Linked DNA regions of Canis lupus familiaris. The protein of the gene in region 4 interacts with the protein of the main gene of each other region in a pairwise test. Links are inferred from orthologs where the notes say so. Each region holds a gene or a part of one and is shown on either strand. Other genes may lie near its edges. The genes, in order: HYPK, KRT20, TCL1A, TXLNA, DEUP1, CCDC146 and WASHC3.

Region 1 (4,194 bases), on a different chromosome or scaffold from region 4:
TCCGCCTCCCCTCCCCTCGGAGTTTTTTACAACAGGCAGCTGGAGGAGGCCTTTCCAACAAGGTTGTAAACCTTATATATGCAAATACTGGTGACAGAGTTGAAGAACGGTACAAGGTACAAAGGCTTAACAATGGCTTTTATTCTCGTATGGGGAAAAGGGAGGAACTTGTAGGGCTGGCCGTGCGCACAGACTTACCGCTCCTGTTTGGCTTTCTGTTCCCGGGACCGTCTGTCTCCGATGACGGACATGGCCTATGAGAAAAACACCTACTTACCGTTCTGTCACCCGCAAGTCCCAATAATCTAAAAAGCTAATAAGCGTGTCAGGGAGGGTCTATTCATGATGACGAGTGTATCAGGAACCAAGGCCTAGGTTTAACTCAATTCTGTGCACGTGAGGTCCACTTTAAACACAATCTCCACCAAACTCTCTTTCGCAAGCGGCGGGCTCCAGTGACGGTTTCCCTCTTGCCTCCTCCCGCCAACGGGATGGGGACCCTGTCCTGGAGCCGGGCTTCCAGTTAGAACCGGAGAGGCCCCTCCGCTATCAGCCCGCCCAGACACGCTCACGGCCAACCTCACCGTCTCCAAATTGGAACTCTGGATCTCCTTCTCCTCCGCGTAGTCGGTGACTCGCTCCAGGTCCGCCGCACCGCTGTCATGCTTCCGTGGCTTCTCGGGAGGCCGCTCCGGGCCGCTGGTCTCAGTCTCCAACTCCAGCTCCACATCCCCCTCGGTAGCCATATCGATCCCACCGTGCCGCTGCACAGGCCCCGCCCCACCTCACCAAGACTTCCGGTAGCTGCCCTGAAACTTCCGCCCGGAGAGGATGAGGCGGGGCTGGGCTCGGGCCACACCTTCACTAATGTTCTGGGTTCTAGAAACTTCAGTCAGGAAGGAGGGTTGCCTCTCAGACTTCCTGTAGGGGTTCTAGTGTTGTTTTCTGCAAGGCCCTCCCACACAGCTACCCCGTCATTACTCCGGCCCTCACCAACCGACATCCTTAGCTTCTCTTCACCTAGATTCTACCCCTTCCAATCCATCCCGCCCCCATCAATTCTGTTCAACCAGGATGGATGACGTCTAGTCCTAAACCAATTAAGGATGCTAATCCACTAGAGGCCAGATTTGCAAAGTGCTCCATAATCTGGGGAGAACAGCCTGTGTGGCCCAAAGGCCCTGCAAAGAAAGTAGCTTTACAGAGACATTTGCATTTACCACATCCGGGAGGTTGGTGTTCCTTTCGTTATGTCCCTCCTCATACTCCTTTAGACTGGGTGATCACCCCCCAGCACCGTGGCAGCCCATGGCTGAGGACAAAAAAAAGCTACTTTCTCATCCTACTTCCATCTGGCGGACCTGGGCCTAATCCCTGGGACAAGGATGGTGGGTGCCAAGGCAGTTACAGAACCCAGCACCTCCCTCCACCTGGCACAACGCAGTGGAATCAGCAATATCATGGTGAATCCTCCCTTCTATCAGGTGAGAGCATACTTGGGCAAAGGGGCTTGAAAGGTCCCTAGAGCAGGAACTAAGAAAATGGAAGGGAATGGTGGCTGAAGCTGGGGAAGAAAACCCAGGGAGCCAATAAAGATGATAGGCCTTCCTTTCCCCTCTGAGGCCTTTCCTTTTCTTAGCTCCTGAAATTAAACCTCTTGTCCCACTTCCCAGTACCAGGTCTATAGGTCTAACAGAAAGGTGAGAGGCCAGGTGTGACTTAGGCTTTTAGGAAGGTCTGCTCAAGCCTGTATCAGCTCTTATGATGAAAGCTCTACTTGATGTCAGTGGAAGGCAATCCTAAATAGCTTGGAACCAGATTCTGAGAATTCCTGAGTGAAAGGAGAGAAGAAAACGAAAGGGAAATTTTGGAATTCAGCCTCATGGGTTAACCTAATACATACATTAAACTTTTCCTCAGCAAATCTCCATCTGCTGCTCTATCCCCAGGTGTCCTGCTGTGAGCCTGTTCCCTGTACCTGCAGCTGCCATTCTAGATGGCCCCTTGTCACAGAGTCTGCTTGTAGCCGCCTGTTCTACATCCTCCTCCACTTGGGGTCCTCAGCAATCTGCTGCCTCCTGCTGTCAAGGACAGTAATGGAAAGAATCTGGGGGAAGGCACATGGGGTAAGAGGGAGGATTCAGGTTGCAACCCAAGAGTGAAAGGTGAAACCCTCAGATAGACAAAAAATTCAGATTGGGGGGTAGGGGACAACTGAATGGATATAACCATGAGAAGCAGGTACCTCTCTATTCATGAATTGCCCTGCTATTTCTCACATGCACTCTCCTCCTCCAGATCCAGATGCCCTCAGGGTTATGTGTCCATCTGTTTGGCTACACTCACTGCCCAGTGCTCAGTGGCTCTGGAGCTGTGTACCGAGTATGCGCAGGAACTGCCACCTTCCACCTACTGCAGGCTATGCTGCTAGTCCAGCTCCACTCCCCCTCCAGCCTGCGGGCACAGCTCCACAACAGGTTTGTGTATATATACTTTGGGTGGGGTGAGACTGGGGAGGAAAAGTAGACATAGGCTGAGTAAAGGAAATTCCAAGATGAAGTAACAGCAGTGTAAAAACTCCAAAAACAGCTTTAAGCTCCTGCTTCTGCCATACTTACTGTGTGACCATGAGCCACATACTTACCCTCTTTGAACTTCTAGTTGCTAAAATGGAGAGAACAGTGGGGTTATTATATGCAAACCCTTTGTCAACTGTGAAACACTGTCCAGATATTATTTAGGTATCTGAGAGAATTTGGAATAAGCTGTGATGGGCCTATTTCCAGCCCTTCTCACGTGGGACTGGTTCCTCCTTTCCTATACTTAGTTGTCTCTTCTCTTCCCTTTCCTATAGTTTTGCTTTCTCCTTTGCCTTCTTCCATAGGCACTGTTCACTCCGCTTTGCCTTTTCTTGAGTCTTGTTTTGTCTCCTAACCAGCTTCTGGATCCTCAAACTGCTGTTCCTGCTAGGTCTCTGTGCTGTTGCCTTCTGCATCCCTGATGAGCATCTCTTCCCAGGTACCTTCCATCTCATATCCTAATCAGCAGGAGTAAGCTAATAGCTTTTCTAAGAAAGAGAGGGTAGGAAGAAAACCAGGAGTAATGACATGGTCAGCTACATTTTCCCACTGGTGCCCCCTACTTGCAGCCTGGCATTACATTGGTATCTGTGGAGGGTTCACGTTCATCCTGCTGCAGTTGGTGCTTATCACAGCCTTTGCCCATTCCTGGAACAAAAACTGGTAAGGAGCACTTAATCCTAAAGGCTCTTCCTGGGAAGGTTGTCTGACATTACTAGACCCAGTAGGGTTGGGCAAAACGCATGACAGGCCAGTGGCCCCCTAACTTCCCACTGAACAGTGCCAAAAAGCTCAGAAACATGAGGACTCTGTAGGCTAGGTGGGATGAGTAGTCACACCAGTGTTCCGGGAGCAGGGGGGGGAATAGTTTATTAAAGGGTAAAGAGTTGGAGCCCCAAGCCACTGCCCACCTCCCACCCTTAGGCAGACAGGTGCAGCCCAAGACTGCCGCTGGTTCCTAGCTGTACTGCTGGCTGCCCTGGGATTCTACACCATGGCAGGTGTGGCAGCTGTGCTCCTGTTCCACCACTACACACACCCAGCTGGCTGCCTGCTCAACAAGACGCTGCTTAGTCTGCACCTTTGTTTCTGTGGCCTCCTCTCCTTCCTCTCCATCGCTCCCTGCATCCGCCTCAGTGGGTACATGCCTTGCAGCATTCCAAATCTGGAAGGCCTTTAGTATAGAAAAATTCGTTAGCTTCCCTAATCTTAGTCAATGGTCTGCTTCCTCCAAAGGGTGGGTGAAAGAAGTATAGATGGATATGAGCAGAAATTACTACCCTGTAGACAAAAGCAATGATCTCCATTCTCCCCAGAGCAACCCCGTTCTGGCCTTCTACAAGCCTCTATCATCAGCTGCTACATCATGTACCTGACTTTCTCTGCACTGTCCAGCCGTCCTCCAGAAAGTGGTAAGGACTGGACCTGGACTCCCCTTGCTAAAACCTTTTGTTCATACCAAATACTTAGCTCTTTTTTTCCTTACCACCTTTCTTCTGTTGCCTTTTTGCAGTAATCTTTCAAGGACAGAATCACACTCTGTGCGTGCCTGGCCTGAGTAAAATGGAATCGCAAACACCAGATACTTCTCTGGCAGTGCTAAGTGCTGGCATCA
Region 2 (4,201 bases), on a different chromosome or scaffold from region 4:
TTTTAAAAAGGAAAAATTCTTTCTACTTGAGCCATCAAACCTTACTGAGTGCCTGTCATTTGATGTTGTTCCTGCTTAGAATATTCTTGTTACCCCTCCTCATTTGGTGAACTACTTCTTTTCCGCATCTCATCTTAGACATCATTGCTTAAAGGAAGCCTCGGTGATTTCCTCAAGGCAGAACTGGATGAACTGCCTATGTTCTCACTGCCCTGCCCAGCCCTCCTTGCTAGCATTTATCCCTCTGTGTGGGATAAATGTTCCTTTTGTCTCTGCCTGTTTCCCCCTAAATCACGTATGTTCACCATGATATTCCTCAATGCCCAGCATGGTACCCAGCAGCTAGTGTGTACTAAATATTGGCTAAATGAATGGACACCTGTTATGTGAGAGTTGTGCTAAGCACTGGAACTGTCAGGATGGGTATGCCCTCGATTTAAAAAAAAGGGGGAATTCACCTAATGGGTGAATTCTCTACGATACATAAGGATCTCGTCTGCTTTTAAAAGATGTTATAGTGACATGTATTTTTTAAAGATTTTATTTATTTATTCATGAGAGACAGACAGAGAGAGAGAGAGAGAGAGAGAGTGAGAGAGAGAGAGAGAGAGGCAGAGACACAGGCAGAGGGAGAAGCAGGCTCCATGCAGGGAGCCTGACATAGGACACCATCCGGGGTCTCCAGGATCCCGCCCTGGGCTGAAGGCGGCGCTAAACCGGTGCCCCAGTGACATGTCTCTTTCAACAGATCTAGTCCTGGAGTGAGCTGCCTTCCTTCCTATACTGAGTCTGCCCCCCCCCCCCCGCCCCAAATGGAACAGATGACTGTGTCTATGTGTTTGGGATGATCCAAAGTAGATTCAGAAACATGAATCATGAGACAGGTAGGGGAGAATGGTTTGCTGATTTTGACCATTTTTAGTGGGAGCCTGAGAAGAATGACCTGTTGGCAGAGAGATAATTTAGACACCTTTGCCTCACCTCCCCGTAGTTCCTGAAACCCCCAAAGTAACTTACAGTGGAGTCTGGTTTAAATTTCACTGACGTCTAATACAACACAAGAAAAAGAGACTTCCTGGTTAGGAGGTGGCCTTTGCTTTAAAGGAATATGAATGTTAAAAAAATAGAAATGAAAATGAATGGGATTTTCCCCCTTTGGTTAGATAAGAATTTGAAAGCAAAGCAAGTGCTCCTGTCATATCTGAACCCTTCAATTAGGAGCAAAGTCCATATCCTTTATTGCACACAACTGATAAAACAGAGCTCCATCTTTTGTGAGAGTAGGTTGTGGTATTGCAACAAATTTGAATTGGGGGCAATAGAACATTTTGTTCCTGTAGAAGTGATTTCTGAACTTGTGATGATGATGATGAGATCATTAAGCAGGACATTTAAAAATCTAGACGTCATTGAGGTGCTTGGGTGGCTCAGTCAAGTGGCTGACTCTTGATTTCTACTCAGGTCATGATCTCAGGGTCCTGGGATTGAGCCCCACATAAGGCTCTGTGCTCACCAGGGAGTCTGCTTGAAATTCTCTTTTTCCTCTCCCCATCCCCCTGCTCTGTCTCTCTCAAATAAATACATCTTTTTAAAAGATATTTTATTTATTTATTCATGAGAGACAGAGACAGACAGAGAGAGAGAGAGAGAGAGAGAGAGGCGGAGATATAGGCAGAGGGAGAAGCAGGCTCCATGCAAGGAAGCCCAATGAGGGACTCGATCCCCAGACCGGGGATCACACCCTGAACCAAAGGTAAACGCTCAACCGCTGAGCCACCCAGGCATCCCAATAAAAGAATCTTAAAAAAAAAAAAAAAAAAGAATGCTATATTCTTTCCCCTTATTTCCACCCTGAATCACTTTGTCATTCAAATTTATGATACAGTATCTTAATACTTATATTATAGCATTTACATAAATTAAAGGAAGAATTATCTCTAAGTTGACTGGGAATTCAAAAGTTAATGGGAATTGGGTGAAAAAACAGATTTATCATCATTGAAATTTCAGCTCTTCTCAGAAAAAAAAAAGTTTACTATTCACTTAGACTTGTCCTGGTAAACTGACAAAAATATGGATTTTATTTTCATATATTCTATGTAATTAGATTTTAAAAAGTGAAAAAAAATATGTACAGTCATCCAATTATGTAGTCAGCTACCCCAGCACTAAAAGTAGATGATAGAATGCACCATTTTTTTAGATATAGCATTTCAGCCTAATTGCTTTATAACATCCATTTGGACCCACCTAACATATATGCCCTTTTGGTATATATATCCTGCAGCTCAAAGGTGGAGTAGAAAACACAGGCGTCATCCCTTACCTGCTTTTGCAGCTCTTCCATTTGTTTGTAATATGCACTGTAGTCCTTGGCGCTGGGCGTGTTTGTTTTATACCACTCCTTGATCAGCGATTCAAGCTTGGAGTTGGACTTTTCCAGGGACTGCACTTTTGCTAGGTAGCTTGCTAGGCGGTCATTTAGGTTCTGCATGGTTGTCTTCTCATTACCAACAAACAGGTTTCCTTTGGTGTGATCACCCCCATAGCCCCTCATATGCCTGGAGGTTGAGATGCGGATGCCCTGACCTCCAGCTCCCCCATAGACGCTGGGTGCAGCCCCAAAGTACTGCATGTCCTCCTTCCTATACATGGAGCCACTCATGCTGAGTGCAGAGGTCTGTGGGGAGGAACTCAAGCCTCTGTGGAAGTTTCTGCGACTGAATTCCATTGGGGATTCTAGGAGGAAGCACCTGTAGCTTCTGGATGGCTGGAGCAGAGTCTGAGTCTCAGTGGTGGATGAGCTGACCTTTTATAGAGTTCGTAGGAAAGAAACGCCTCCTCTGCTGACCTCTTCTGCTGACATCTCGCTTTAGGATTGACACCACTGTCCACCGTGCCTTGCTTTGTTTTTTTCTTTTTCCCCTTTGTACAGCGATCTGTTTAGTTTCATTCCAGAAATTATCACTAGAGGCATTTCTTAGAGGCTTTTCTCAGGGGCGATTCCTTTTTTTTAAACAGAGGCAACAAAAGGAAACGGAAGATGTATTCTTTTAGCCTTTGCACCTGCCTTGACAGATTTTTTTTTCATCCTAATATACACAAGAAGAATATTTGCAAACATTGTGAATAATTTAGGTACCTAAAAAGACAGATGTGGGTACATAATAGTAAGTTACACTGGTGATCAAGAACAATGTTTTAGAATCTTTTAAAATTTGTCTTTTTCTTTTTGGGGAGAACATTTAAGTTCTATTCTTTTAGTAAATTCCTAAGTACAGCCTTATCAACTCTACACACATTTTACATTAGATCCTCAGACCTTATTCATATTAAAGATGAAAGTTTTTATCCTTTTACCTCTCCCTATTTTCTCTATGCCCCACACCCCCCCAGGCCCTGGCAACCACTGTTTCCACAAGTCTGACTTTTTTTCTTTCCTTTAGATTCCACACGTCAATGATATCATGCTGTATTTGTCTTTCTCTGTCTGGCTTATTTCACATAGCCTAATGCCCCCCGGATCTATCTATGTTGTTGCAAATGGCAGGGTTCTCCCCTTTTTTGTGACTGAATAATATTTCAATGTGTGTGTGTATGTGTGTGTGTGTGTGATTTTATCCAGTCATCCTTTTGTGGATCTTAGGTTGTCTCTATATCTTGGCTGTTGTGAGTAATGCCACAATGAACATAGGAGTGCAGATACTTTTGAGATAGTGATTTTGTCTCCTTTGGATATATACCTAGAAGTGGGTTTGCTGGATCATATGGTAATTCTATATTTAATTTTTGAGGAACCTCCGTATTATTTTCCATAGTGGCTGCACCATTTTACATTCCCACCAGTAGTGTGCAAGGGTTCCCTTTTGTCCACATCCTCATCAATATTTGTTATCTCTTGTGTTTTTGATGATGACCACTGTAACACAATGAGGTGATATCGTGGTTTCGATTTGCATAACAACGATTTATAAGTATGGATAACCACTCTTCAGAATCTCTGTTTTATGCTTTAAAAAAAAAAAAAGATTTTCTTTATTTATTCATGAGAGACACAGAGAGAGGCAGAGACATAGGCAGAGAGAGAAGCAAGCTCCTCACAGGGAGCCTGATGCGGGACTCGATCCCCAGACTAGGATCACGCCCTGAACCAAAGGCAGACACCCAACCGCTCAGGCACCCAGGCATCCCTTTTTTTTTG
Region 3 (3,970 bases), on a different chromosome or scaffold from region 4:
GGGAGGCGAGGAGGACAGGACAGGCCCACCCAAGATGACTCGACGGTGTCCAGGAGGAGGACACACTTGCCTCAATGTGGTACACTATGCGCCAGAAACTGGAGTCTGAGCCTCGGTATCTTCTTCCAGGGTAGAGCTGCCACATGGAAGGCAGCAGGCATGGGGCTAGCAGGCTGGGGCACATGGCCTCCCCTAGGGGGACATCTTCCTGACGCATGAGTACCTGGAGGCTGCTCTCCGTCTGAAGGGAAGGGAAGACCAGGGCATGCCTTCAGGGCCCAGGCTCCCCAGCACCCAAATACCCAGGGTCCTTCCTGCCACCCTCACGGCCCAGCTGACATCTGAAATGCTGGCGATCACTCTTCCCAGCAACTTCACCCCTTGCGCCATGCATGCCCCTCTCAGGCATCGGGCCAGGCGGAGATGACCGGCACTTACATGAGTCTAGACACCCAGACGGGGCCACACCAGGCCCACGTCTTCCTGACAAACTGAACATTCGTCCCTGAGCTTCCTTAGCTGCAGTTTCTTTGATTCTTCTTTATTTTGTCACAGAGCCCAGCCCCTTTTATTTATTCATTAAAAAAAAATTTTTTTTAAGTAATCTCTACACCCAACACGGGGCTTGAACCCACAACCCTGAGATCAGGAGTCGCTTGCCCCACCGACTGAGCCAGCCAGGTGCCCACAAATGCCCCATTGAAACAAATTTCCCCAGCACCCACAATCAGGTGAGAGACCACTTTTCCCCATCTCCACCAGTGCCCCTCTACTGCAGTAAGCTAACCTGCCACCTCGTTGGTCATGTGCCCCACGATCAGCTCACAGCACAGCAGCCAGGGTGTGCGTCTAAAAATCATGTCACCTCCTGTTTGACACCCTCCAGTGGCTTCTCATTGTGGGCAGAAGAAACTGCAGCCTTTACCATGGTCCACAGACCCACTAATGTGGGCCCGTGCCTCCCTCATCTCTTCAGTCCTCCACCTCCCACCCTGTTCCTCCACCTCCCACAAAGGCCTTCTTGCTCTTTCCAGGACATGCCACATCCCCAGTAATCTCTTGCATCTGTGGTCCTCTGCCTGGAACATTCTCGCTGAGATCTACACGCGGCTCACACCCTTCCTTAGATAGGTTTCTGCACAACTTTTTATCTACAGGGACAAATTTCTGCAAAATCCAGCTCTATGAAATACACATGAGGCCCGCATATCTAAAAGTGAGACTTACAAAGGTTTCAAATAAAATGATTGGACAAAAGCATGACAAACAAATGCAAATTAATTCTCTGACGGGGTCTTGCCTGTAGACCCCACGCCACTCGTTACTGCCTCTCATCCTTACACAACTTACCACCAGCTTCAATTATTTTATTGTTCTGCACCCCTCAGCAAGCATCAGCTTGCTGAGTAGCAGGATTTTATCACATTCCCCACAAAACCTCATAGCCTGGAAAGCAGGCTGGGTCTATAAACTAGGCATTCGTGTCTGCTCAAGAACTACTTTTCCAAAGTGGAAATCATTTTTTGTTTTTTGTTTTTAATTTGTTTTTTGTTTTTAATTTCCCATCTATGAGATAAATTAGAATTGTTAAATAATTCAGATCATCCTGCAAGATATGAGTGGAAATCACCATTCTTGCTGTGTTCGTTTATAGTTTTCTAGAGCCTCTAGACCACTTTTAGTCTGCGTGTTCATTTTTTTCTTATTTTTTTTTATTTTTTTTTTAAATTTATTTATGATAGTCACACAGAGAGAGAGAGAGAGGCAGAGACACAGGCAGAGGGAGAAGCAGGCTTCATGCACCGGGAGCCCGACGTGGGATTCGATTCCGGGACTCCAGGATCGCGCCCCGGGCCAAAGGCAGGTGCTAAACCGCTGAGCCACCCAGGGATCCCTTCTTATTGGTTTTAAGTCAATCTTTACATATTAAGGGCAGCCCCGGTGGCTCAGCGGTTTAGCACGGCCTGCAGCCCAGGGTGTGATCCTGGAGTCCCGGAATCGAGTCCCATGTAGGGCTCCCTGCATGGAGCCTGCTTCTCCCTCTGCCTCTCTCTCTCTGTCTTTTGTGAATAAATAAATAAAATCTTAAAAAAAAACTTTACAGGGATCCCTGGGTGGCGCCGCGGTTTGGCGCCTGCCTTTGGCCCAGGGCGCGATCCTGGGGACCCCGGATCGAATCCCATGTCGGGCTCTCGGTGCATGGAGCCTGCTTCTCCCTCTGCCTGTGTCTCTGCCTCTCTCTCTCTCTCCCTCTGTTACTATCATAAATAAATAAAAATTAAAAAAAAAAAAACTTTACATATTAAGAAAACAGGCCCTTTCAATCACATGGACACAAAGCCTGCCCCACATTGGGCTAGGGGTATGTTTCACGCAGGATCTATGAGGACAATGCAAAAACCTCCACTTTGTGGTCTTGGTGTCCTGTGCCCTAACCAGAGATTTAAATGCCAAGAGACACGGTGGTGGGGACCTGGGATTCCAGGCCTCTCACATCCTGCAGAGCTACCATAATATTTTTTTTTTATCTTTGTTCCTAATTCGGCGTCTGCACCGCTGCGTTCCGGGTGAAGCAGGCTCCGCTGCCCCCCACCCCCCCGCCCGCCCCTGGGAGTCGGGGCAGGTGGTCCCACCCCGGATGCCCACGCCGCGCGCCCGGCCCGCCCCGGGGCGGCTGTACCTCGATGGTTACGGGCAGCCAGGTGCGCTGGTTCTCGTCCACGTACACGGACGTCTCCCAGATCCACAGGTGGTCCGGGTGCAAGGCCGCGTGCGCCCTGAAGAACGGGAGCTCGCCCATGGCGCCCCGGGGCACGGGCGCGGGAGCCTCTGCAGCGCGGGAGCCCCTGCAGCGCGGGGTCGGGTGGGTCGCGGTGCGCGCGGGCGCCCCCGGGCGGCGGGGTGGGAGGGGCCGGGGGGGCGGGGAGGGGCGGGGCCGCGGGCGGGTCTGCAGCTGGACCTGCAGGGGGGCGCCCTGGCCAGGCCTGGGCTCCGGCTGTCCCCCCCTCCCCGCTCCCCGCTGCTGCTGGGGAGCCACCCCCTTGTCCGTGCCAAAGGCCTCTCGGCTCTCCGGGGCGCCCAGACCCCACTGTCCGAGCCCGCCACCGCGTGTGTGTGGCTGCTCACGTCCCACTAGAGACCGGGACGCCAGGCCGCTGCTGGGAACTCACAGTCGATGCCAGGCAACCCAGAGCCGGGCCCCCCTGCACATCTTCCCGGATCATGCGAGCCTGAACGAAGCCTGGACCCTCCCAGGTCCAAGCATCCCCTTCAGCCTCTGGATGGGGTGTCCGACTCGGTCTCCTTGGCCAAGTGCTACTCATGAAGCCCCGACACCCCACTCACCCCCACCCCCCTCCGCAAACACATTTTCCACGGCTTTGATGATGGTGTGGTCATCTAATAGCTATTGTGAAACACGATGGTGAAGAAACATGGGTTTTTTTTTCCCCTTTATAGGCTTTGAATTCATTGCTGAGCACATCCTTCAAAATGAATGCTTGAAAAGAATCCCTTCTCTCCGCCCCAAGATCAATGGAATTGAAAAGTCCCTGGGTTTCATGATCAAACCGGCTCTCTGTGAATTACAGCAAACAAGGAAAACAATGTCACTTCATTTTGCAGTACACCGCATGCCCATTAAGGCAATTAAGAAAATAAAGTACAATGAGAAACATGTAAAGCGAGGCCCGGCCTCGTTGCTCAAGCATCACCCCTGGCTGCAGTGTGGTGCTTCACCTTCCAGCTCCTTCCTGACTCTCTGCCCAGGCACTAAGAAAATACTCTGTGATCTTTCGAGATATCACAGAAATGAAAATGAGCTTAACCCTGATCCTCTGACAGCAAAGGTATGTATGTGCTGCTCTGCCCACTCCAAACAACCTAATTCCCAAGAAAGTGCTGAGGTGGCCTACAGTAATGGAGATAAATATATAATTGGATTTACCAGGAACACAAAAAGAGGAGACAA
Region 4 (4,124 bases):
CTCTGCCTGTGTCTCTGCCTCTCTCTCTGTGTTTCTCATGAGTAAATAAATAAAATCTTAAAAAACAAAACAAAATAAAACCAAAAACAAACAAAAAAAACCCTTTCCATTAGGATGACAAACAGAGGGTGGGGAATTAAGGACTAAGACACAGGTATAATATCACTTAACTCTGATTCTTTAACATACACACTAGTCCCCTGCCCCCAATAACTTTCTCTCACTGTGCTTCAGTCAAAGGGGCTTCCTTCTGTCTCCCTGGAGGGCTCCTGTACATAGCACAGCACCAGGCTCCTGAAGTGTCAAACCCAAGAGGCTCGAAAGATCAGTGTGGAGACTGCAAAGCACTAGCACGTAGGCCAAAACCCACACGAGTTTTGTTTGGCTCCCAGCATATTAGTTGTCAATTGTTTTTTTTTTTTTTTTCTTCAGTTGCCAATTGTTAAAAATCCAGAGAGATTTCACTTAACTGCATAATAACAAAGGGGAAAAAAGGAGAAAAAAGAATGAGGGGGGGAAAAAAAAAAAAAGGCTGGCTACACTTAGCCTGTAGTATTATATGCTATCAGCATGGTGGGACCAGATGGCAATCACCCCTTTGGATGAAGTAGGCAATGTCTTGTCCTCCTAGGGTCCCCTGTCTAACTTGGCTTATTTGTGTTTTCAACCCTGGGCTAGTCCAAATCTTACTGTAGAGAAACGAAAACTAAGGAACAGAAAGGAGAAAGGTCTTGCCCAAGTTTACAGAGCAGGTTAGAGATAGTGTTGGCTGACACAGGATCCCATCTACACCCCTCTGTTCTACGGTCCACACCCCTTGCTTGGATCAAACTAATGTGACTCGGTGCTCCAGAAAGTAATTTCCTCTGAATCCTGGGACAGCAGGTTAGCCCAAACATCCCCACCTCACCAGTAGCTGCCCTCTGCTCACCCAGACCCTTGGCTTTCTTCTTCTCCTGTGGCCTTCGGTGATCTCGGTCTCCAACCTCGTCACTGGTCCGGATCTCATCTGTGCCCGGCTCCCCCTTGGAGGTCTCCTTCTCACCATTGACCACTGGGGTCTCTGGCTCAGGCTCCCCATTCCTTGAAGCATAGGTCCGGGACTTGTCTGCATCTTCGGGTTCAGCAGGCTCACCCTGTGCCCCATCCTCACCTGGGCCCCCCTGATTGTTGTCCACACAGTATGTACTCAGGATGTCTTCCAACTGGCGGCTCAGCTCCTCAGAGACATCACGGAGGGCCCCGGACTGAGCAGTTTTGGCTTGTGCTCCTGTGGCAGGGCAAGATGAGCGGCAGAATGAGAAATGAGAAACAAGATGGTTAATTCCATTTGCTGGGATTTTTCAGGCCCAAACTTACTGGTTGGGGCTAAATGTTGCCTACTTTCTTTAAGCCTTAGTTTATTTACCCATAAAATAAGATTATTTCCCACTATTGCCCAATCATGTCTGTTATAGATGTGAAAGGAATCAAGGAAATAAAGCATCCAGCATATAGGGATGGCATGTACCTGGAGCTCAACATCTAGTCCCTCCCTTTCCCCTCCCTGCAAAAATCATTTCTTGCTATTAAAAAAGTTCTAAGAAAGCCTCCAACATGAAGAGTAGTTGCCCACTGGTGAATGCAGCATTTCTAAGCCGGGCTAGCTGGTTGGGTGTCTCATCTGAGCGCCACCTGACTTAACCCTGTCAGAGCCTTCTCTTAAGAGTTCTGCTCCTGTGCTTTGAGTGGGAGGCTCTATCAACACCCTGGGGAAAGAGGGATCTGCGGGTGGCAGTCCTCCTCTCATTCTACATTTCCTCCTTCCTGGGTAAACAGTGGCCTAGGCCTGGAACTCCAGAAGCTATCCTGGCGCACCACAAACTCCTCCCCCTGCCCGCTGGAAAGCAGAAATGGCACACACCCTCAGTCTTCCCTGGAGCCTGGCTGGAGGAACCTTCAGCTTCTGTCGCAGGAGCCGGCTGGCTGGGGCGCCCCTGGGTTCCCTCTGGTCCTACTTCGGCTTGCCCCGGGTTGCTTTTTGGGTTGGAAGTGTTGCCCGACTGCTTGGCAGCCCCGTTCTTTTTGTCTTGGTTCTTCATTGTGGTTTGCAATGCTAGGCTGGAAACAGATCCTATAGAAACAAGCACACTCGCTATATTCCAGACTTCAAAATTCTTCACAGCCTGGATCCGAAATCCCAATCCCGGGTGCACAAAGCTTCTTAGGACACACTGGCCGTCCCTCACCAGAGGGAGCCAACGGTTCTCTCTCTGGCCAGTCGGAGGAGCACGGCGCGCCCAGGCAGGTTTTCGGGGCGCTGCTTCAGAAGCGCGGCAGGCGAGGCCTCCTTTTTCTCGAAGCCGCTTCCCGGCACTACACAGCCCCCTTACCACAGGCCGAGCGCGGGATAGGCTCAGGGCCGGAGACTGACGTGGCGGGACGCTCGATTCCCATCCCTCCTCCGGCCCCCAAGCCCCACGTGGGCCCCCCCGCGCGCAGCCACCCACGCCCCGCGCGCCTCCCGTCCGCGCATGCGCACAGGACCAGCCCTGCCCCCCCCAGCCCACTCCCTCGCGCGGAATCGGCGTGATTCCCTCCACCGACCGAGAGTGTTCAGGCCCACCGACCTGCTGGTCGCCTTGTTCCCCCCAAACCTCCGCAACACGCACCTCACTGCCGACCTCCTGACGGCTTCGCCCGCTCTGGCCTCGCACCGGAAACCCTGGGTAACCGCTGCCGGCCAAGCCGCCTGCTCCTGCCACAGCCAATCAATAGCCGGCGCTCTCGCGGGGCTTGCTGGGAAAGATGAAGCGAAGGCAGCCTGAGGCGGCCTTTGAGGCGGGTGAGTTGGGCAGGCGGAGGGGGAGGGAAAGGACTACATGTCCCTCCATGCACCGCGGCTGACCCCCAACTCCCAAGATGCAATAGAAAGGACTTCAGTCCTGGGAGGCGGATACCCAGGAGGTCTGAAAGGAGCTAGTCATTCTGCACGAATACTGGAATCCGCCTGGTTCCTGTCGTGCAGAATTTATGATTCAGGTCCAGAGCCCTGTGCCTGGCTGTTCTTTCCCGCACGCCCTTACCAGCCTCAACCCTCTGCTGTGAACATCTATGACCAGGAACTCTGATGACAAGGGATAGAGCATTGGGCTGGGAATCAAGACCTGTATTCCAGTTCTAACTTCATCGCGAATTCGCTGAGGGGCCATTCTTTTCTTTCCCAGGCCTCATTTTCCGTATTCAAATGAAAACTTTTCATAACAGTAGTAGTTCTTTGCTTACAGTGTGCTTTCCCACCTACTAGCTTAATCCGCCTATTTACTAAGCTCAGTACTATTTTTTATTCCCATTTGCATCTGAGGACAGTAAGGCAAAAGTTAAATAACTTGTCCCATCGCTATTGAGTAGTGAGTAGGGATTCAAAATCAGAAAGTCTTCCGTTTTACCTCCTGGATTACCCTGACTCGTACCCAGAAGAAATTCACCATGGCACTTTCTCAAAGGATGAGTCAAGGTAATTTGGTGGAATTATTCCCCCCACCCGCCCCAACTCTGCGTTACCAGCTTGAGTCCTTCTCTGGAAGGGGTTGACAGGGCTCTGCAAGAACTTTGGCCTCAGCCAATTCCTGAACATTTTCTCTGACTGGCCCATCCTCTACAGACAAAATCGGAATTGCCATGGGCTCAAGGGGAAAAACCCAAACTTTCTCTAAATGTGAGATCACAGTTCTATATTCAGCTGTCTATACATAATAGAATAAAAGCTACCAACCCCTGTGCCTGGAATTTAATGTGTAAATGGCTTGGCTTTTGTTTCCAGTCAGTTCTGTCCATGCCCTTTGCCTTTTTTGCTCCCACTATACTCTATTTCCAGGATTTCCAAGTTTTTTGCAGGTGCTAGTCCAGTTTCCAAAATGCCCTTCTGGCAAAACTAGTATTTTGAGGTCTAGCACAAAGGTCATTTCAGACCCTTCCCAGTGCTCTGTAGTCTGTCCCAGCTCTCTAGGTCTGGATAGAGCCTTTTTTTTTTTTTTTGGATAGAACTCTTTAACATTTGTAATGAGATATTCAAATTATTTGCTTACAAGTCAATGAACATTACAAGAACTCTTGGCTAAATTGTATTCCTAAAGCCTAGCATC
Region 5 (3,500 bases), on a different chromosome or scaffold from region 4:
CCTTTCAAATAATAGCAAATAAGAAAAATTTAAGACTGATTCTGAAATAATGTTGGAGGAGAATATTAGATAAAATGTTCACAATATATTACTGAGTAGGATACAAAAGGGGACTGAAAAATAATGCGTGATACATTTTAATTGTATGAGAAACATATGTATTTATACACATGTACATAGAAAAAAGATAATTAATATACACAAAAATGCCAACAATGATTTTCTTCTGATGATGACATTATACTAGTATATACTCTGATATACTCTGTTTTCTACAGTTAACACATATATTTGATAGAAGAAAAGCAATCCAGTCTAGATAAAGTACCTAGGGAATATCACTATTCATTTATACCTTTTTTAAAGATCCCTTTATTTTCAATATTTCCCTCAGTTATTTTTCAATCACTACTTGGATTTTGTGTTGTGTGGTTTAGGTTTTTGATTGATGGAACCTTTTAAAAAGTTCTTTGGACATCTGAAATTGTACTCACTTACAGGTGGGTACATCGCTCAAAACACCAGACTTTACCAGATTAGGCAAGCAATAGCATGCTAGTGTCCTTGCCTGACTATCTTTCTTTTTCTTTTTTAATGAGTTTTCATTTACCAACTTCCCTGATGTAGAAGTGAACCTGCTTGTATTTCTCCAAACTTCCTGTAGAAATGGTACTTTTTATACTAGTTTCTGCTTTTCCCCTCTGGTATCCATATGTGCTAGCAATTCTATTTTGTAAATTAAGCAGCCAAGGAACAGATGTATTTGAGCTTTCTCTGGGTAGACTGTCACATTTAGTCATTTTGGATCACTTTTATGGAGAAGTTGCCCCCCTCTGACTTCTGCTGACATAGTTCCTTCCCATGATGCATAAGCAGGTTAGATGCGTTTCCCTTTTCTTTAAGGGGGTTCCAAGTTATTTTATATAAAAATCTTATCTACATATGCAAACCCAGTATTCTGCCAATTTTCAGTGTATAATTGAAATTCCATATTAATTGCTACCTCTTATTTTTTTCACTAAAACCATTTGCACTCAGTTAAATATGTAAATACTTATGGGATCTGAATGTATGAGAATTTGCAATTTCTGGAACAGAAGCTTTTCCAATAAACTAATAGTCTATCTCTGCAACCTACGATAGTCTAAATCAACGACAGAATCAGGACAGTTTACCAAGTTAAGTTTTTTTTTTTTTTTCACTTTAATTTGTAGAGTTGAATCCTCTTATTCACCTTCTACTAAAGAACTAGAAAGGAAAAGGAAAGAGCTGTTCTCAGTGACCCTAGATCAACAAAATCATGAAAAAGAATTGAATAAGGTATGGAAAATAATGCGCTTCATCCTTTCAGGCAGATCTGAAGTCTCTGAACACAAAGGGAAGAGGAAAACCGTCCTTCACATTCCCTTCTTTTTCCTTCTGTATTTTCCCCTAAGAGAATAACCTACCAGGCTGCTAATTCTTACATTTTTCTGCACAGTGCTATAAAAGACACAAACCTTCCATCCTCATTGTGCCTCTGGGAAACTGTGGCTCCATCACAGGTAGCTTACAGCAAGAAGTATGAGAGCCCAGACTCAGGCATCCATCTGTCTAGTAGGTACATAAGCTTGGGGAAGTGGCCTGTGCCAGATGCTAGGGTTCCTCATTTCTAGGATGGGGATGGGATCCTAAGCACCTGCCTCATACAATTCTGATGAGGCTTAAAGGGGTGAATAATGACTTTGCTACCTAAATAGCACTCCCCATGCGCCAGGAGGGGCTCTAAGGGCCTAACAAACCTCAGCTCATTGATTCTTCAAACCACTTTAGGAGGTAGGTACTAATACCATCTTTTACGTTTGAGGACAGTCAAGCACAGAAAAGTTAGGTAATTTTCCCCATATTACACAGCAACCAGGCAGATTGATCATATTTGAATTCAGGCAATCTGACTCCAGAGTCCATACTCTTCCCTTAGGTTAAAATCCATTTAAAAAACGCACATCAGGGATCCCTGGGTGGCGCAGCGGTTTGGCGCCTGCCTTTGGCTCAGGGCGTGATCCTGGAGACCCGGGATCGAATCCCACGTCGGCTCCCGGTGCGTGGAGCCTGCTTCTCCCTCTGCCTCTCTCTCTCTCTCTCTCTCTCTGTGACTATCATAAATAAATTAAGAAAAAAAATTAAAAAAAAATAAAAATAAAAACGCACATCAGATGCTTAGAGCAGGGCCTGCCTAGCTCAGATGAAGCACCCAACAAGGGAAGGCTGCCACTGTTAATGGTTGCACCCACCTTTTGTCACTGAACACCTAACTGGTGCCAAGTAATCTGCCAGGAGCTGGGAATACAAGCATGGATAAGGCCTGGGCACTGTCCTCAAAGGCCGTGTGGTTCTCAACTCTCTACCACAAGTATATTCTCTTCTCCCTGTAGCAAAATCTAGTTGGAGTTTCCTTTCCATGAGCTTATCATGGCTTCTACTCATGTCTCTGGTCTTTAGGTTTGAGGACCACACCTAGATATTCAATGTTATATGATCTAAACAGTTGTTAAAAGTAGGGAAAACCTGGGCATGGCTTCGAATCATCATTTATCCCAGCACAGAGCCTGACACACAAAAGTGAAAATAAATATTTGGAGAACAAATGAATTAATATCAAGGTTATGATCTCCCATACCTGAAGAGGCTCATAAATTTAGTTGTCGTGTGTATAAATTCAACATTTATTGCACATCTAGTATGACTATATCTATTCTGCTTATTTCTGTAGGAAATACAGTGACACAAAAGACAAATCCTGTCTCCCAAAGAGTTGACTGTCAGGTAGCTAGTAAGTGTAGAAAAGGTATTATGAATTAATGATCATTTTCCTTATATTTTTGCTTAATTCCATGAAACTGATTTTACTATTTAAACATAGAATTTTTTTAAAAACTGTTCTTTATTGGTGTCTGCAATGAACGCATTATGATAAAAAGACTGATTAAAGCCACCTAAAGTATATTTATACCGTTCTTAACCTCATAGACTTGATAACACTTTGAATAACAAGGAATCTACTGACACTGCACAGTTGTGCTCTGAAGGAAGAGAACACTAGGCACAAATTCTCTTCATAGGCTCTTGGAGACCTCTAGATAATGCACTGCTGTGCAGGAAAGGTAACAAATGAATTGTGTATAAATAGCTATAGCTCCCAGGAAGTGTTTGTGGAGAGCATTTCTATTCTCTTGTAATAAAAGCAACAAGAGCCATGTATTATGAATCTTGCAAGTGTTTTATTTCTCTTTTTTCAGTGTAGAACTATTTTTGTCATGTATTCCGTGATGAAATTGACATTTTTAATTAATAAAGCCAAAAGTCATTTAGAGCTCAGTAAATTAATCTCATTTAGAGGGAAGCTTTGCAGGAGAACATGTTTTAATATCTAAATGCTCTGAAAAAAATAAAAATAGTTTACTCCTTTTTCATGATAGTATATTCATCTTTTTTACATTTTGAAAGTTCCATTTTAAGAG
Region 6 (3,500 bases), on a different chromosome or scaffold from region 4:
TTATCCATTGACTGGAAGCCCTGATTTGCAATGAACACACACAAAGTGCCTGTACAACAGGGAGAGAAGTTTTCTCTTGTGGATCTTTTTTTTTTTTTTTTTTTTTTTTTTTTTAAACTTTTATTTATTTATGATAGTCACACAGGGAGAGAGAGAGAGAGGCAGAGACACAGGCAGAGGGAGAAGCAGGCTCCGTGCACCGGGAGCCTGACGTGGGATTCGATCCTGGGTCTCCAGGATCACGCCCTGGGCCAAAGGCAGGCGCCAAACCGCTGCGCCACCCAGGGATCCCTCTCTTGTGGATCTTAATGAATTTAGAGTCCTTTTGATCTGCTGGGCATCTTGATAGTGTAGTATGGGCACAGATGGCCCTGAGGCTCTGTTTTGGGAAGGAGCTGGAGAGAGACAAATTATTCTATAAAATCGAGACAAGTGTGGAGTGCCTGGGGGACACTGTGGGGTGGTGGGGCTGCGGAGAGAAGAGGATGAAAGGTGGAAAGGCAAGCAGGTGAAATGGAGCCAGGCTAGGGTGCTGCATGGGCCAACACACGTGGACACTGTTAGCAGTGATGGGGTGGCTGCCCGTAGGGCTCTGCGGGTATGGGTATCTGATACTGAATTTGAGGTTCTTCACATTTCTATAATGTACCCCATCATGCTGTTGCCCCAAATCGTCAATCAGTTCACTAAGGTCTTGCATGAATGGTTCTGTGCAGGTAGGCTGAAGAAGGAGCTGGTCCTGAATCTGCATTGATGGGGCATAGAAGTGAACCAGAAAGTGTGTGTGCCAGTGGCGGGGGGGGGGCTATCCTTCATATGAACCACTCATTGGTAGTAGGAGTCAGACCCACAGGAATCCTGGGGAGGTGACCTTGGAGACCTGAGGGACTCCTGGGAGTGCCAGCCAACCCATCCACATCAGGCTACACTTATGAAAGAAGTGATTAGGAGAACTTATGACTAAAAACAAACATACATGGGGCAGCCCGGGTGGCTCAGCGGTTTAGTGTAGCCTTCAGCCCAGGGCCTAATCCTGGAGCCCCAGGATCGAGTCCCACATCAGGCTCCATGCATGGGGCCTGCTTCTCCCTCTGCCTGTGTCTCTACCTCTCTCTCTCTCTCTTTGTGTGTCTCTCATGAATAGGTAAATAAAATCTTAAAAAACAAACACACACTGGAATTAGAACCTTGGTACATTTATGCACAATGAAAGATCCCATCACTGATAAAGCATTTACACACTCAAATGGCATAAAAATATGAAAGTAGACCCGTTATCTGGTTCCATAGTCATGTAAATCCCATGACAGATTAAATGGAAAAAAAAAAAAACCCCAAAAAACAAAACCAGGACTCAAAACTGTCTACACATGAGCTAATGAAAACCGTTTACTTATATATCTTGAAAAAGACCAGAAGGCTCTCTGCCAGATTTTTGATAATTTTAATAGTGATTGTATCACAGGAATAGAATTTTATTTTTTTAAATGCTTGTATTTTTTCAAAACTTCATTAACTGAACATGTTTTAATTTTATCATCAGGAAAAAAAACTGAAAACAAATCTGACATTTTAGAAAACACACTATAGGTTAAAATTTGTTCCTGCTACGTTGAGTCAATGGAAAAAAGTGTAAGACACAAATCTTTATTTAATTTTTTTCTTCTATTTTCATTAAGAAAAAAACAATTACATGTGAAGAAAGTAGTTTTATGTTCATAATTTTTTATGTATATGTGTATGTATATTATTATATATTATTATTTCATGTTTAAATTGTTTGGCTTTATTCTACATTTAAAAAGACTGTGTCAGAGACCAGGCTATTCAATGGCAGGGAAACTACAGGGATTAATAAGGAGTGTAATTATATGTGATTGCTAATTAACAAATAGCAATCTCGGCTTCTAAGGTTAGGAGTTCTAAAAATGAGAGAATGAGATGGTCTCCAAGATCTTTCTAGCAAGCATGAAAAACATAGTTATGCTGGTGGCAGTGAAGGCCTGGACTCATTAAGTTTTGAGGTATAAGGAAGCTAGTGCTGAGATTCGGGAGGGCTTAAATTCCAAGGAAGGCAGAAAATGCTTCATGGGGAACCATCTGTAGCCTGCATTCCTGAAACATAAATTCCACCTGGAGCAGCAGAATTTTTTTTTTAATTTATCTATTTTAGAGAGAGCAAGCTGGGGGGGAGGGGCAGAGGGAGAGAAAGAATCTCAGGTAGACTCCCCACTGAGCACAGAGCCCTAGTGGGGCTTGACCTCATGACCTTGAAATCATAACTTGAGCCCAAATCAAGAGTATGACGCTCAACCGACTGAGTCACCCAGGTGCCCTGGAGCAGAGGCAGTTTTAAAGAAGACACGTAACTCATGGGTTTGTACAGGTACCAGGAAGGGCCTGGCTCAGTTTACATGTAAGAACTTGATATGATCTTCAAACCAATAAAGTGAGGGGAGGCAAATGGCCCCAGGAAGCGTCTGATGAATGTTTCCCCCACCTGAATTTGCAGCACTGCTAAGTCAGCATCCAGGGCCCTCTTGGTTGGCAATAATTTCTGGGTCACGTGAATTTGTCTTTGTTTCTCAGCAATCTTCAGTTTCAGGAATCGGATCTTTTCTTCCAGGACATGTATTTCAATTTCTCCATTTAGTTTCATCTTCTCTTGGATATTTATTTTTTCATAAAAGATGCACACCTCCTCTTCTCGCTGTATCAGCTGAACACCACTATGGCCAAAAGGAGAGGCAGAGGCTAAGAGGAAGTTGAGACTTATGGTAATTCCCTCTGGATTTGGGCACAAAACATCAACATTACGGAATTCCAGAAGACAATAGATATTTACTGTCTGCTCTCTAGTTAAACACTTTAAGTATTCCTGGGGATATGAGAGGGAGGGTTGTTTAGTGTCTCTGCTCTGAGCTGATCATGCAGTTGGCTGGTCACAGTATCTCTGCAAGTCCCAAAGGCTTTCTGAGGGTGGGAAAAAAATGTCATTCCCCATGCATGAATGAAGTGACCCCATAATCTGATTTTCTGCAGACCCGTTTCTTGGGCCCGGCTTGCCAACCGAGGTCTGGCCAGAAGTACCCAGGCAGGGGGCCAGGGAATGTGTTTCTGCAGTGATTCTATGGAACTTGCCAGGCCTATTAGGGTTTTTTTTTTTTTTTTTTTTTAAGTTGAATATTTTTGATGCAGATTTCCCCCTAAACAGGCAAAGCTCTGTCCTTTGTAATCACGCCAGGGGAAAGACCCCTCCATGTGAGGAGAATGTGGGAAAGAAACAAAGTAAGAATTTTCCAATTCCAGCCCTACAGGTCTGACCAGGGCCTGGGAAACATACTGCCTAAATAATTTGTTTTGTGCCGAGAGCCAAATAAGAGCACTTTTTTCCCCTCTCTCTCAGAGAAAACACCTGCCAGTAGTTTGAAAAAGTAGTGTCCTTCGCACCCTGAAGCTCTTCCCACACTCTGCATAGCCATTATCCCAGAGTTCATCTT
Region 7 (4,287 bases), on a different chromosome or scaffold from region 4:
TGATTTAAATCTCTCTACATCTCAATTTCTGTGTTTCTAAAACACAGAAAATTGGACCTTTCTCAAAGGGCTGGGCTGTGATGATTGAATACATGTAGAACACTTAGTAAAATGCCTAGCACAGAATAAGCAGACAATAAATATTAGTGTCATCACACCAGTCAACAATTGACATAAATATCCAAACTGCTAAAATATGAATTTGCAAATAATGAGTTAGAGTCAACCCTAGACTACCATCCATAAGAAGAAGGTGGCAATAAACTACCTTCAAACTTCACGAGTTTTTGGTCAACAAACTTTTCTCTAGGGTTTAAGGAAGAGAAGAAGTAGGGACTAGTGAGACACTCAAAACAGTTGAGGGGAAGCTGAGAGAGAGAGAGACAGAAGGGGGTTAAAGAGTGAATCACGTGGTTTTGCTAATACGTAGGCAATAAATAAACAGGAGAGGATTAGTTATATTTGATCTAGTCTTTAGTAAATAGGATTCACTATCCAGGCAGTGAAAATTACTAAACACTAGGAAAGTAAGGGGCTGCCCCTGTCTCAGGGCAGTTTAACTGAGTTGCCTTCATAGGTGTGTTTGCTGGTTGTTGTTTTATTTTTTTAATCTGGTGATAAGGAGTATGGGGATGGAATATTTGCTCCTCTCTGCTAACAATCCTTGAACCCTCTCTCTCCACCCTGCCTATCCTGGTATAAAAAGTGAGGGACTAAATCCAGTAATCTTTGGTTTACTGCTCTGTGGTCAGTAGATTCTATATCCCATTTAGAGAGGCAGCAATATACGATAAAACTCATGGGAGCAAGCACCTAACTTCTGGGCCTGTTCGATAAAATACATGGAACAGAGTCCCTGACTCTATCAATTATCATATTTCACTTTTGTTTTAGTGAGAAGGCAGAAGAGATTTTGGCTAGAGATTGCTAATTTAGACAAAAATAACATATGCTATACATGTGAAAATAGTTTCCCTGTCTCCATGCAAATTTTTGCTAATAGGAATTCATCTAACAAAAACTACTTGCTAAAGCTATACCTTATAAATAAAACAGTGAACTAAATACTGTTTTTATTGACTCACCTGTGAATGATCTCATTTTATTCCTCCTTCTCCTTTCTTAAACCCAATTTAAACCCATGGTTCCATTTCTTTCCCATTCTCTTTTTTGGCTTTTGAAGAAAAAACAGGGGTCCCTGAACCTGGTACCTAATCCTTAACTGGTTATTTGCTAAAAGTATTTTTATTATTTTCATAATATTTGATATTTGATATCAAGGATATTTGATACTAAAGTTATGTTTTGAGGCTACTTCCCCAACCATCATTTGCATCAAGGAATGTTAAATAGTATTTTTAAAAAATATTTTACTTATTTATTCATTTAATAGAAAGAATGAGTGGAGGGGGAGGGGTAGAGGGAGAAGCAGACTCCCTGCTCAGGGAGCCAGGTGCCTGGATCCTGATCTAACCAAAGGCAGATGCGCTTAACCAAAGCAGCAGTGATTAATCACAGACTGAGCCACCCAGGTGCCCCGATAATTTTAATATAAACTGAAAATAATGTGTACTTAAAAATGTAAATCTTCAGGGAAAACAATGTAAATCTTTGGGGTAATAGAAACAAATTTCAAAGTAATGTTTTTGACTGTGAATTCCTTTTTGTTCTCTTTAGTCACAGACTTAGTAAACTATCTCTGAAGGCCTCCAGAAACTAATTCTGCAGAGGTGGGGTGCAAGACTGATGGTACAGAATGGAGCAGGATTTAAGTAAGGAAGGTTACCAGGACACCTGGACAGCGAGAGGTCCTGGTAAATGAACACATAGACTGCAATTCTTGTTTTACTCATTTGCCACCTTTCAAAGTGTAAGATGGTTCCTGAGCTACCCATTAAACCATTATCACCGGACCTACCTCCTCACAAACTGTAGAAAAGCGGTTGAGGAACTGTACAGTGTGCACCACAAACTGGTTTAGAAATGCCACCGTTCTTTTCTGTTGAATAGCTGGCACCTGTGTTATGTAAAGACAAACATGGTTTGTACAGGACAAAGTACACCATGCAAACCCACTGACATCTGCATCTATGCACACACACACACACACACACACACACTCCTTGCCATGTAATAATAACAGGCCTCTTTCCTATGCTATAGGAGTTACTCGAAGTACTAGAAATAGTCACGAACTTGTTTTCCTAAACTGTGGGAGTGTGGTGTCCGATGATGACAGAAGCTGCAAAGTTTAAGAGGGAGCTTTGGATTCACAAGTGCGAACTTTAGGAGGTAACGGCAGGACACACAGACACACGGAACACTTGGGGATCAAACAGAAGAGGTGAGGTGAGAGGTCGCGACCTGCCCCTGTAGCCGTCGCGTACCCCGTGCGTAGCGAGTCCGCACTCAGGAAGCGCCCCTGACTGACCCCGGGAAAGGCACCCCACCAGCTGGGACGGGTCAGGAAGGACCCTGCATCTTTACAGTGAACTGTGGGGCTTCCCCCCACCGAGGACGGGACCGGAGAGGCCGGGGGTCAGGACGGACGTGGACACGGAGAGATGGGGCGTCCCTGGGACCGAGCGTCCGGTGGCCATCCTCCTCCCAGGGCGCCTGAATGCAACGTGGCCTTTTACAAACCTTGGTCAGGTCTATGCCTGACCCCATGAGAGGAAGCCCGTCCTCATCCATGTTGTCAGCGGGTGGGGGACCAGAGGCTCGCCCACAAAGCCCTCCCAAACCCGGCCCGCCCAACCCGGCAACGATGTGCCAACACCTCCCCCTGGGCCCACCCCCCAGCGCCCTTCCCACCGGAAGGAAACACCTCCGCCCGCCAATCACGCGACCGCTCCCGGAGAGCCCGCCTCTTTGCACGGCATTCTGGGATTGGTAGTTCAAGTCTGGGCTGTGACGTCAGACGCAAGGCGCGGGGTAGGACCAGACCGCGGCTTTAGCTGTGGGATCTTAAGAAGGGGGCGGCGCGAGTGGGGTTACCCCTGCTTCCCTCCACCGTCGGGTAAATAGCTAAGTCGTTCGGTAATAAAAAGTATATACATTTAAGTATATACCTGGGAAGTGTCGGATGCTCGCCTCGGTCCTGTGGGGAATGCAGATACTGAGCCTGCTTGCCCTGAAGGGGTTTCTTTATGCCCCGAAGGAGGAGACAGAACTGGTTTCCTTAGGGCTTTAGAACGTGAGACACAAAGTCAGACGCTACAAGTGAGGCGTACACTAACGGAGGTGACAGCCGCTTCGATCGTCGGAAACGTACAACACACAGACCCCGAGACCGAACTTGGCATCAGGGATTTGAAGATGTTGGCTCCCATGTTAACCGTGCAGCTCCTCACCTGTAGGACCCAGGGCAGCCACCAACCAATCTTGGAGCCCTTTCTGTGCACCAACCAGGACACCCAGCACTGAAAAGATGCAGAAATAGTGGCTCACTTCAGAAAACTTCTAGTTGAGGGCAGACACACGGAGTCCAGAAGTGCTGCATCTAGACAGAGGTGCTAACAGCGCTGAGAAAGCTGTGCATCTGCACCCACGTGGGTGTGCGTGGCCCCGTACTTGTAGGTACACCGCAGATAACAGGTGCTCCTAAATCTGAGGAAACCGGAGAAGATAGCCTTTTAGCAGGTACTTGAGTGGAGTTGATGCAGACAGACAGTTGGGGGTGGACTTTTCTACAAAGGCACAGAGTCCTGGGGTGTGTATGGTATGTAGGGAAGACGTGAAGCTGCTTGATTCTGTTGGAGAAAAAAAAAAAAAATTTCCAGAAATGGAGAATGGTAAGAAAGGAGTCAGGAGAAGTAGAACAGCTCATTAAAGGCCTTTGGTGCCACATTTGATAGTAGACTCCAGGTTTCTCTGAGGTGTGATCCGTGGACCACCTGTATCAGCTATTTGGGAGCTGTCAGGACTTCTTAAAATGCATTCCAGGGACTAACCTTAGAAAAACAAGCACCTCTGGGGGTGAGCCTAGAAATCTGCATTTTATACCTCCCCCCCACACACACACACCTTTATTCTAAACGGAAATGTCACGACGTTTCTTCTGTAGGTGCTGGAGGCCGTTAACAATTCTGAGCAGGAGAGAGACATGATTCACTCTTTCATGACTTCCCTCTCACCTCTCTGGCCATTCGTCTTTCCTTTGTCAGTCCCTTGCCATTTTCCCAACCCCTGGAGTTTCCCACACTGATGTATCTAAGCGCCATCTCAGCCTGGAAGCCAGTGTGGCTGAAGCAGAGTGAGCAAGGTGGGGAACTGGAGGAGATAAAA

Evidence for each region.
Region 1: the proteins of TXLNA (region 4) and HYPK interact in binary tests that used the Homo sapiens proteins (3 or more experiments, as listed by UniProt). The two-hybrid records come from large-scale screens. The link is inferred for Canis lupus familiaris from reciprocal best matches to the Homo sapiens genes TXLNA and HYPK.
Region 2: the proteins of TXLNA (region 4) and KRT20 interact in binary tests that used the Homo sapiens proteins (3 or more experiments, as listed by UniProt). The two-hybrid records come from large-scale screens. The link is inferred for Canis lupus familiaris from reciprocal best matches to the Homo sapiens genes TXLNA and KRT20.
Region 3: the proteins of TXLNA (region 4) and TCL1A interact in binary tests that used the Homo sapiens proteins (3 or more experiments, as listed by UniProt). The two-hybrid records come from large-scale screens. The link is inferred for Canis lupus familiaris from reciprocal best matches to the Homo sapiens genes TXLNA and TCL1A.
Region 5: the proteins of TXLNA (region 4) and DEUP1 interact in binary tests that used the Homo sapiens proteins (3 or more experiments, as listed by UniProt). The two-hybrid records come from large-scale screens. The link is inferred for Canis lupus familiaris from reciprocal best matches to the Homo sapiens genes TXLNA and DEUP1.
Region 6: the proteins of TXLNA (region 4) and CCDC146 interact in binary tests that used the Homo sapiens proteins (3 or more experiments, as listed by UniProt). The link is inferred for Canis lupus familiaris from reciprocal best matches to the Homo sapiens genes TXLNA and CCDC146.
Region 7: the proteins of TXLNA (region 4) and WASHC3 interact in binary tests that used the Homo sapiens proteins (3 or more experiments, as listed by UniProt). The two-hybrid records come from large-scale screens. The link is inferred for Canis lupus familiaris from reciprocal best matches to the Homo sapiens genes TXLNA and WASHC3.

The regions. Positions count from the first base shown.
Region 1 is NC_049251.1:10,827,206-10,831,399, reverse strand, and holds the start of HYPK (huntingtin-interacting protein K), read right to left. Parts: upstream 2,801-4,194; 5' UTR 2,478-2,800; coding exon of another isoform or gene 2,299-2,477; 5' UTR 2,127-2,298; coding exon of another isoform or gene 1,950-2,126; 5' UTR 1,485-1,949; coding exon of another isoform or gene 1,386-1,484; 5' UTR 747-1,385; coding exon 585-746; intron 255-584; coding exon 199-254; intron 1-198. Other genes in the region: SERINC4 (serine incorporator 4), read left to right, coding at 1,386-1,484, 1,950-2,126, 2,299-2,477, 2,939-3,018, 3,149-3,242, 3,504-3,715, 3,896-3,991, 4,093-4,194. UniProt on the Homo sapiens protein: Component of several N-terminal acetyltransferase complexes. Inhibits the N-terminal acetylation activity of the N-terminal acetyltransferase NAA10-NAA15 complex (also called the NatA complex).
Region 2 is NC_049230.1:21,757,231-21,761,431, reverse strand, and holds the start of KRT20 (keratin, type I cytoskeletal 20), read right to left. Parts: upstream 2,801-4,201; 5' UTR 2,732-2,800; coding exon 2,327-2,731; intron 1-2,326. UniProt on the Homo sapiens protein: Plays a significant role in maintaining keratin filament organization in intestinal epithelia. When phosphorylated, plays a role in the secretion of mucin in the small intestine.
Region 3 is NC_049229.1:64,861,852-64,865,821, forward strand, and holds the start of TCL1A (T-cell leukemia/lymphoma protein 1A), read right to left. Parts: upstream 2,801-3,970; coding exon 2,681-2,800; intron 242-2,680; coding exon 71-241; intron 1-70. UniProt on the Homo sapiens protein: Enhances the phosphorylation and activation of AKT1, AKT2 and AKT3. Promotes nuclear translocation of AKT1. Enhances cell proliferation, stabilizes mitochondrial membrane potential and promotes cell survival.
Region 4 is NC_049223.1:68,417,954-68,422,077, forward strand, and holds the start of TXLNA (alpha-taxilin), read right to left. Parts: upstream 2,801-4,124; 5' UTR 2,652-2,800; intron 2,114-2,651; 5' UTR 2,082-2,113; coding exon 1,904-2,081; intron 1,271-1,903; coding exon 932-1,270; intron 1-931. UniProt on the Homo sapiens protein: May be involved in intracellular vesicle traffic and potentially in calcium-dependent exocytosis in neuroendocrine cells.
Region 5 is NC_049242.1:7,364,103-7,367,602, reverse strand, and holds part of DEUP1 (deuterosome assembly protein 1), read left to right. Parts: intron 1-1,214; coding exon 1,215-1,320; intron 1,321-3,500. UniProt on the Homo sapiens protein: Key structural component of the deuterosome, a structure that promotes de novo centriole amplification in multiciliated cells.
Region 6 is NC_049239.1:17,673,170-17,676,669, reverse strand, and holds part of CCDC146 (coiled-coil domain-containing protein 146), read right to left. Parts: intron 2,730-3,500; coding exon 2,501-2,729; intron 1-2,500. UniProt on the Homo sapiens protein: Essential for sperm flagellum biogenesis and male fertility.
Region 7 is NC_049236.1:41,205,656-41,209,942, forward strand, and holds the start of WASHC3 (WASH complex subunit 3), read right to left. Parts: upstream 2,801-4,287; 5' UTR 2,695-2,800; coding exon 2,644-2,694; exon of another isoform or gene 2,409-2,643; intron 2,018-2,408; coding exon 1,919-2,017; intron 1-1,918. UniProt on the Homo sapiens protein: Acts as a component of the WASH core complex that functions as a nucleation-promoting factor (NPF) at the surface of endosomes, where it recruits and activates the Arp2/3 complex to induce actin polymerization, playing a key role in the fission of tubules that serve as transport intermediates during endosome sorting.